2 linked regions of the Coturnix japonica genome follow. The protein of the gene in region 2 interacts with the protein of the main gene of each other region in a biochemical or structural test. Links are inferred from orthologs where the notes say so. Each region holds a gene or a part of one and is shown on either strand. Other genes may lie near its edges.

What was found. The genes of interacting proteins can lie anywhere in the genome.
Region 1: the proteins of FGFR4 (region 2) and FGF19 form a complex in vitro, tested with the Homo sapiens proteins (2 studies listed by BioGRID and IntAct). The link is inferred for Coturnix japonica from reciprocal best matches to the Homo sapiens genes FGFR4 and FGF19.

What each region holds. Positions count from the first base shown.
Region 1 is NC_029520.1:7,237,957-7,242,555, reverse strand, and holds the start of FGF19 (fibroblast growth factor 19), read right to left. Parts: upstream 3,208-4,599; 5' UTR 2,873-3,207; coding exon 2,635-2,872; intron 2,513-2,634; coding exon 2,409-2,512; intron 323-2,408; exon of another isoform or gene 1-322. UniProt on the Homo sapiens protein: Involved in the suppression of bile acid biosynthesis through down-regulation of CYP7A1 expression, following positive regulation of the JNK and ERK1/2 cascades. Stimulates glucose uptake in adipocytes. Activity requires the presence of KLB and FGFR4.
Region 2 is NC_029528.1:12,076,782-12,081,308, forward strand, and holds the start of FGFR4 (fibroblast growth factor receptor 4), read right to left. Parts: upstream 3,211-4,527; 5' UTR 3,196-3,210; coding exon 2,655-3,195; intron 2,563-2,654; coding exon 2,473-2,562; intron 2,385-2,472; coding exon 2,218-2,384; intron 2,135-2,217; coding exon 2,011-2,134; intron 1,810-2,010; coding exon 1,619-1,809; intron 1,540-1,618; coding exon 1,401-1,539; intron 1,319-1,400; coding exon 1,125-1,318; intron 965-1,124; coding exon 819-964; intron 717-818; coding exon 595-716; intron 512-594; coding exon 401-511; intron 331-400; coding exon 140-330; intron 11-139; coding exon 1-10. UniProt on the Homo sapiens protein: Tyrosine-protein kinase that acts as a cell-surface receptor for fibroblast growth factors and plays a role in the regulation of cell proliferation, differentiation and migration, and in regulation of lipid metabolism, bile acid biosynthesis, glucose uptake, vitamin D metabolism and phosphate homeostasis.

The DNA.
Region 1 (4,599 bases), on a different chromosome or scaffold from region 2:
GTGACATACTGCAGAGACCTCCCATTAGGATCTAGGACCACCTTCCCACAAGCACTGCGTTTGGTGCAGCGCTGGTGTTGTTTCAGGCACAGTCACTGCAGGTGATTGAACTCCTGGTCAGCAAAAGGAGACTGCTGACAATGCCTCAGCCTTCAGTGATAAGTGAATGCTTAATATATATTGTATTTGCTACCTTTCAGTCTTTTCTCATGGCTGTCAAGAATACGGAGTACAATTAAATACATGCATATGAGTATTGATTAAAAGCCCTCTTTAAACTAAACAGGTAATCAAAAAAAGGGCCTCCCCCCCCGCCCCCCCCCCCACCCCAAAAATAAATTATGCAGTATTTTTCCTTCCATACACAGAATATATATCTCAGAAAGATACCAGTATGTGATGTATAATTATGGCTGACTTGTCAGCTGTCCTTACTGCTACGAGCAGACAGCCTCCCTTCGGAGGATGATGAAATCAGAAGGCTTCTTGAGTAAGCGCATGTGACAAACCACACTGGTTGCTGATGGCATCCCTGTGCCTCCACCAGATTGCTCCCTACTCATTTAGTGGGACAGTGGGACTGTCTCTAAAAACCGTACTTTTTAATGCATTCTGAACACACTTTAGGTATTTCCAGATTGCTTTTTTCTATAAGAGAAACTTACAGTACGTCAGTGTATTAAGCAGTTACACCATTTCTGCTAAACTACAGAAATTCTGAGGGCGGGCTATACAGCACACTGTATGCTCAGAATCAACCCCAGCCATCCCTGTGGCCCATGTTATGAAGGGACACATTACAGGAGGGCTGAATTTGGGCCCCAGACATTCCACCTGCCTTTCTTCTTCCACTTCTGATCTCTGGGTTATGCATGCTCTTGACCTGGACTGATGATGGAGAGATGACAGTGGGTGTTGAGAATGACCTGGCTTCTTGCCCTCAGTCTCACTCAGGCACAATCTCAGCCCATGCTTATTGGGTATCAGAAGAGTATAGACAGAATATGCTAAAAGCCATTGATTTCTTCCTTCCAAGTACAACCCTAGAGAAGGGTAGCTACAGGAGACAGGGCTGTGTCTCAAAAGAGAAGACTTGTCTCCGTGTGTCAACTTTTACACCCTTCACCTCTGTGAATACTATTACCAAAGTTGACAAAACTATTTTCTGGAATCAGGCAAACAGAATTGGTCCATGACATAAAGGTATAACGGCATGGTCACGTGTCACTGTGTTTTCAGAAGAAAAGCTAACAACCTGTGAAGAATACTACACACCAACAAACCCACTCAAGGGGTACTTGTTAGTTTACAGGATTGTAAGAAAGCTGCTCTATAATACCTTGACTACAGCAGCTCCAATAGGAGCAGGATCTGGACTTGTTTTGTTCTCATTGATCATTTTCCTTTGGATATACATTGAAACTTTAAGCTAATAATTGACCTACCACACTGTTAGAGCCTATGCATGTTATCACTGCATCGATCGCCTGATTCTAGCCCAGAAAAGCAAGGAAACTGAGAAAGAAAAACGCAATCCTACATTGTATGCTCAGTCAATAACCTCCCTACACCCATCTTTGTCTGACTGAACGTACCAGGAGTTTTGACAGTGGGCCAAGTCCTTGCCCTACTGCAACCGGCACAAAGTTTGCCGCAGCTATCAAAGCAGAATGGAGCTGTGCCTTTACTACAGCACAATAAAAAGCCGTCACCCCACGCGACCCAGGCTCCTGCAGAGAGCTTAGACAAAACCTCACTCTGAACGTTCAAATTCTGGAGCTGGCAGCTTATCTCTGGGTTTACAAAGCCAAGTTTACATCCCTGATAATGTCTACAGGATATGCTGACATTGCTGGGCGAAAAGCGCAAGCCAGCGGCGGGTTGCCAGCAGGTCACTGAGCTCCACAGCCACAGATGTGCTGTATCTCAGGTTGGAGTGAGACAGCAGGGCTGAGCCATCCTGATGCCCCTTTTGTTTGTTACTACCTAAGAGACTGTAGTACCCCTGTGTCTCTGGGGCTTGTTTGAGTGGCAGTGACATGAGCGCATCTCCCTTCCAAAGGAAGCAATTATTTTTTTCCCTAAAGTATCTGAGCTGAACAGCAAGAAACTATTCAGATCCAGTGCCCTAACTTCATCTGTTTCTTGTGCAGCCACCAAACGAGAATACTTTCTAAACAAACTCACTTCTGGACGACACTGCATTTTCCACATGAAACAGGCACTGTACATTCAGGACGATGTCCTTTTGCTGCTGCCCTCTAACAAACCCCACGGCCACCCGGGCAGTGTCAATGCCAAGAACCACCGACCCACGGCGAAAAGGAGGGGACACCCCAAAGCCCCGGCGCCAACAAAAACTCCCTCCCCCTCCCTCCTTGCTCTGCCATTCTCGGCCGGGGGCTCACCTGCCCATACAGCCGCCCCGCCTCGTCCATGCAGAGGTAGCGGGAGCTCCGCACGCCCTTGATGGCCACGGTTCGCACCGCCACGGCGCGGATCTCCAACAGACCTGCGGGGAGAGGGAACGTGCCGTCAGCTCCGCGCCGCCGCCCACCCTCCCGCCCGTCCGTCCCGTCCCGTCCCGTCCCGTACCATCCCGTCCCGTCCCGTCCCTTAGAGCCCAGCACTCACTTTGCGGGCTCTGGCTACCGACAGCGTCCACCCGACCGTCGCCGCCGATGCGCAGGAAGCAGCTGAAGAGCCCGTGCTTGCTGGCGGTGTAGAGGTGCCGCAGCCGGATGGGTTCCCCCCAGCCGTAATTGACGTGCGGGCCCGCGTCGGGCAGCGGCAGGGACCTGGCGGCGGCGGCGGCGGCTGCGATCCCCAGCAGCGCCAGGGCAGCGCCGGGGGCGGCGGGGCGAAGCCCCATCCGCGGCGGCCTCGGATTCAGACTCGGGCTCGAGTCGGACGGCGGCGTTGCCGCGGGCGTTGCAGGGGCGGTGCGGTACGGGGTTGGGCGCTCTGTGCAGCCGGCGGTGTCGCGGGAGGGATGTAGCACGGGCCGAGCCGGCCCCCCGGCTTTTTATAGGCCTCCGTTATCAGCCCGATCTGTTCGGTCGCATCCAGCTCCAATATAGAGCCCGTTTCATAGCGGGAATTGGTCGGGTCGGGTCACTCCCCCCGAAAATATTGATTAGATGACATCATGTCGCAGGGGACACCCTGGAGGAGTCTCTCCCTCCCCATCGCATCTCCGAGCTTTCCCTCGAAGCTCATCCGCGCCGAGCCCCTGCGAACCGAGCTGCACGGGACGGGACGGGACGGGGCGGGCATGGGTAGGATAGGGTCGGGTCCTGTAGCCCCGATGCGAGCACGAAGCACGGGAAAAAGGACCACGGGTGCGAGACCCAAAAGGCACCAGCGGTCACGTAGAGGTGAGGGAGCAGCTCGCCCACTCGGGGGACATCACTCCGCCCGCCCGGCTCTAGCGCTTGTCCATCCTATATTCCCATTTCAGAACTAAGCTAGTTCTACACTGGGATGCTCGTGTAACCCGCCCAGAGAAAAGAGCCGTGGGCAGGGCAGATCTTCACGCTTGAGCTTGGCGGCTCCGGGGCTCCGCGGCCACCATCCTGTTTTCTCCCAGCTGGCGCCGCTCCGCCGCGACGTGAGCACGGGGTGAGAGCGGCCACTGCCCGGCACCGGAGCGACGCCCGGCCCGGCACCCGCTGGCTCGTCAGATCTTGACACGTCCCGGCACAGCATGGCACGGCACGGCACGGCACTGCATGGCACGGCACGGCACGGCACTGCATGGCACGGCGCCTCGGGACGGACCGGCGCCGCTCCCGGGCTGCTTTGCCACCCGGCCATCCCCGACTGTACCGCTAGATGGAGCCGGGTGCCCGGGTGCGGGCTGACCTCTCCGTCGGGTATCTGCTATTGGGGTCTCTGGCCCATCTTCCCATTCGCGCAGAGAAATCGGCAAAAAAAAAGTGTGCGTAACGAAACCGAGCAGAGGCCAGACATAGGTATCAAATAGGTTTGTATGCTGACGGCTTTTACCATGCTGGGGTTCACCCTGTGAATGCACCAGGCAAGTGGGAGAGCAGTACTATGTAATCCATATGTACTATGTTTATCTTTTTCAGGACACTTCAGGGGACTGCTGCTGATTTTCCTGTTATCTATCCAAACTGAGCATTATACGAATTTTCTCATATCCCGAGAGGGAAAATAGGCACCAGTAGGATTTCATTAAATAAAAAGAAAATTCTTCTTCCATAGGACACTCGAACTATCAATTAAGCAGAACACAGCCCCATACCCCTAGCAGAATTTCAGAAGCAAGCGAGCAAAGAAATAAATCCTTTCAAATTTCATTGCCTGATTATTTTTTGTCTTTCTATTTGTACACTTTCATCTTTATCCTGTGCGCACTCCTGCAAACATCTCTCCTTTTTGAGCAACCCAAGCTCGTTGAGGCTGAGCAAATAGACAAGACCATGTGACAGTACAGAGCTTTATGGGTTGATAACCCACTCTTGTATGGATGGACTTCTATACATCCTAACCGTGTGCACCCTGTGGCACTGAGGTTTGTCACACTGATTAATCAGTGCCTAGATGATCAGGGCCTTGCAGCACCTGCTCCCT
Region 2 (4,527 bases):
GGTGGATGCACTGCCAGGGGGAACACATCACCTCTGGTGTGAGATGGCAGCTCCCACCCTCGGCCCCCCAGCACCACAACCCCCAGGAGATGCCCAGGCCTCGTGCCCTGCACTGTGGCACTCAGATTGCCGTCCCTACCCGCCTGGACTCCAGGTACTCCATGCCGCGGGCCACCTGGTAGACGCAGGACACCAGGTCCTTGAAGCAGAGCTGCTCCTCGTGCAGCTCCGTGATGTCAAAGGTGTAGTCGGGTGTGGGGGGCCGCCGTGCCCGCAGGTACTCACGCAGGTTGCCCTTGGCAGCAAACTCCACTATCACATAGAGGGGCCCTAGGGAAGACACACAGCACTCAGCCCTGCCCCATCCACCCCAGCACCCCCCTGCCCCTGAGCCCCTCACCGTCCTGCGTGCACACTCCTAGCAAATTGATGATGTTCTTGTGCTTGTCCATCAGCTTCATCATCTCCATCTCGGAGATGAGGTCAGCCAGGTCTTTGTCAGTGGCGTTGTCTGTTGACAGAGGGCCGTGTCACTGATGCTGGGGTGGCACCAATGCAGCAGCCATGCCCAGGACGCCACAGCACGACTGATACCTTTGAGCATTTTGACAGCCACGGTGACAGCTCGGTCCGGCCACTGCCTGTCGATGCCGTACGCCTCCGCCCGCACCACCTGCCCAAAGCAGCCCTCGCCCAGGGGCTTCCCCAGCACCAACCTGCCAGGGGAGGCAGAGCTGTGAGCACACAGTGGGGCTGACCCTGCTCCAAGCCCATGGGGCACAGTGCCCCGGCACTGCCAGCCCTCTCCAGCTCCTTACTTTTCTCGAGGGAATTCCCACTTGGAATCCAGGGGCAGGTCCATCTCCACGACGCCCGCCAGCATGGGGGCACAGCTGGAGGAGAGGCGGGTGACACGCATCAGCGACGTGCTGGACTTCCCTGATGAGCTGGAGTCCAGGGAGAACTGCGGGGACAGCACAGCAGCCCTCAGACACCTGGGAGTCACACTGAGACCTGGTGCTGCTGAGAGCAATGGGGTGAGGGCAGCCCCAAGGACAAGCAACAGGGACAGGTGGCAGCAGCAGGGCCAGTTGTCACCAAGGTGCCCCCAGCTCAGCCCTCACCTGTCGGATGAGTGGGAATTTGGAGAGCTTGTGCACTGCCATGGGCTCCAGGGGCTGCTTGCTCGACTGTGTCTGCATGCGGCACAGCACCACGATGATGAGGGCCATGGCCACAGCCAGCGAGCCCGACGTGTAGATGATGATGTCGGTGTACTTGGCCTCGGAGGTCTCAGCTTCATGCACCAGCTCTTCTTCTAGAAGGAGAGCACACGTCAGTCCACACCACGGTCCCCATGCTGCTTTCAGCCCTAACCCCAGCTCTAACCTCAGCCCTACCTGGGAGCACAGTGAGCCACGCTGACTGGTAGGAGAGGCCGATGGAGTTCCCTGCCAGGCAGGTGTACTCGCCTGCGTCCTCCATGGTGACATTGCGCAGGTACAGCACCTCCACCTCGGAGCTGTTGATATCTGCGGTCTGTGGGCAGAACGAGGGACCGTGAGCATCCCTGTGTGGGGACAAGCTCCATGTGACCCTGCCACCCCCCAGCTGCTACCTTGAGCACTTGCACGTAGGGCACCCCGTCAGGGCCATAGCTGCTGCCGTTCACCTCAATGTGCTTCAGCCACTGGATATGGGGCTGGGCATCGCTGTACACCTTGCAGAAGAACTCCACGTCGCTGCCCACCAGGGCAGTGGTGTTGGCAGGCAGCCCCGCCTGCAGGATGGGCCGGTGCGGGGACCTCTCTGCACACAGGGCATAGGGGCAAAGTCACACACAGTACCCAGGGGGGTCCCAGCCCTACCTCCCTCAGGTGCTGGGACACGAGGGCTGCTCAAGCAGAGCAGATGAGGATGGGCTCCTCTGCCTTCATCCCCTGCAGCCCATCCCCTCTCGCCAGCACAGTGGCAGCAGGGACCCCCCTGGCACCACCTGCGGACCCTCACCCAGCACATCCAGCAGGTAGCTGTAGCGGATGCTGCCGAACCTGTTCTCCACCAGACAGGTGTAGTTGCCACGGTCCGAGGGCACCACGCTCTCCATCACCAGGCTCCAGTGCTGGTGCCGGAGCTGCGACGGGGAGCAACAGGTTCAGGGGGCTGCAGCTGAGCCAGACACCAGGAGGAGAGGATGACATGGGGGGGGGCCCTTACCCGTATGCCCCCGATGCGGTGCTCCCCCCGGAACTCACGTCCATTCTTGAACCAGCGGATGCTGGGGCTGGGGCTGCCCGAGGCCGGGCAGCGGAACTTGACGGTGTTCCCCGCAGGGACAGCATACAGCTTCTTGTCCATGCGGTGAGGGTGAGTCCAGTACGGTGCTGGGGAGAGACGGGGGGCATCGTGGGATGTGGCTTATGGCCTCGGGTGGGGGCTGCCCCCAGTCGCTCCCCCCATGACAGCACTCACCTCTGTGCACATAGACCGGCTCCTCGCTGCGGTCTCCGTGGGGACCATCCCCATCACTGTCTTCATCGTCATCACCCGATGCCAGCGAGTCTGCAAAGGAAAGCGGGTCACGAGGGGTGCCCCTGTCTTCAGGATGGGGTAAATCAGGCTGTGCTCCCCTCAGTGCTGCTCCGGGCCCTCACCCACTACAGAGATGGTGAAGTTGTGCAGGACTTCCCCGGTGCCCCGCGCCCGACACACACACAGCCCCGAGTCCTCGTAGGCGACCTCAGAGATCTGCACTGTGCCCGGCTGGAGGCGGACGCGGGGCCCCGGGAGCAGCGGCCGCGACTCCTTGTACCAGACCACAGTGGCACCGCTGCGGTTAGCGTTGCAGTGCAGCTTCAGAGCATTGCCCGGCTCCAACAGGAGCTGCTGCTCCTCCGACTCCAGCAGCGGGCTCTCAATCAGCTCTGCAGCCCGGGAGAGACGCGCTGAGCGCCGCGCACAGCGCCCCGGACAGCAGGAACCCACCGCGCTTCTCGGCGTGCACAGCGCACACACACACACACACACACACACACACACACACACACACACACGTCCTGGCCAGAGACGCGTGTACAAGGGCTGGACTCTGCCCCCGGGCGCTGGGACAAGGCTTCCCCCGCGACCGCCTGGCACTGCCGCGTTCCCGGCCAAGGCCACCCACGCCACGGTCCTTCCAGAGGGGTCTGCGCCCATTCTGCCGTACTGGGACGGGAAGGAACCGGGAGCGATCAGCGTCAAAGTTCCACCACCACCTCCGGCTCCCCGCGGACCCGGCCCACGCTGGTAAAGCGGCTCCAAAGCAAATATTCAGCTCTGTACTAAACTCAAGAGCCGCTCGGAGCAAAACCACCGCTGGGACAAACCAAAGCAGCGACGGTTCGGCCGCTCCGGGACCCGCAGCCCCCGCCCTGTCCGCGTGTTCCACGCGCCGCCGCCGCGCCCCGAGCCCCGCAGCTGTCAGCACCGCGTGCGCCCCACCGCACCGCACCGGCACCGCCCGCAGCACCCAGCCCAGCCCGCAGCCGGGCTGCCGATGCTCGAAAGCACGAGAAGCGGGGCCGGGAAAAACCAGCACCGGAGCCGCCTTCACCCCCCCAGCCGTCCCGTCCGTACCTGGCTCCATCTCCCCGCGGTGCGAAGCGGCCGGGCCGACCGCCAGCAGCAGCCCCGCCAGGACGAGCCAGAGCGGCAGCATCTTCCGGGCCTCCCGTGGGAAGCGGCACCGCGGCCAGGAGCTGCGGCGCCCCGCGACCGTCGGGCAGCGCCGGCTGCGCGGAGCCCCGACGGCGCGGCTGCTCCGGCTGCTCCGGCCCCGCACCGGCCTCGTCGGGGAGGGCCCGGGCAAAGTCCTGCGGGGCCGGGCGGGCTCCGCTCAGCGCCGCGGCCCCATGGCGGCCCCGACTCTCGCCCCGCCGCGCTGTGCCGAGGGCGCGGGCACTTTGTAGGGCGGCGCTCGGGTTACGCGGCGCCGCGGGCGGCCTCGCCGGGGGCGGCCCCGGCCCCGCCCGCTGCCCGGGACCACGTCACGCGCACGAGGCGCGTTCACGTCACTCGCGTAACGTCACGGCGTGCGGGGCCCCCGCGATCCCCCGCCCCCGGGTCCCGGCCGTTTCTCGGCGCCGCCCACCGCCCGCAGCCCGCAGCCCCCGCGGCGCGTTGCTGGGCGCCGTTCCCGTGGCTGGGCGCTCGGGCTAATTGCCGCCGCTGCAATTAGCGCGGCGTTATCGCTGCCGGGGCCATCAAGTGGCCGTGACCCCCATTAGGAGTCCATAAGGCTGCGTCGTAAAACACCGCGGGGCTGCGAGGCGGGGCCGGCCCGGCCCTAATCCGTGCCATAAACACCTCTCCGCGGAGAGACCCCCGACACCGGGAGCGGTCCCGGCCGCGTCCCGTTTTCCCGGTCCGTGCGGGAACGAAGCCGGGAGCCGAGCCCCGGAGCTCCCCGCGGAGCCGCTTTGAGACGGTGCCGCGATGTTGCGCCGTCCGGGGGCTGCCGCTGTCCCCCCCCGTTGCTCGGGGCCGTGA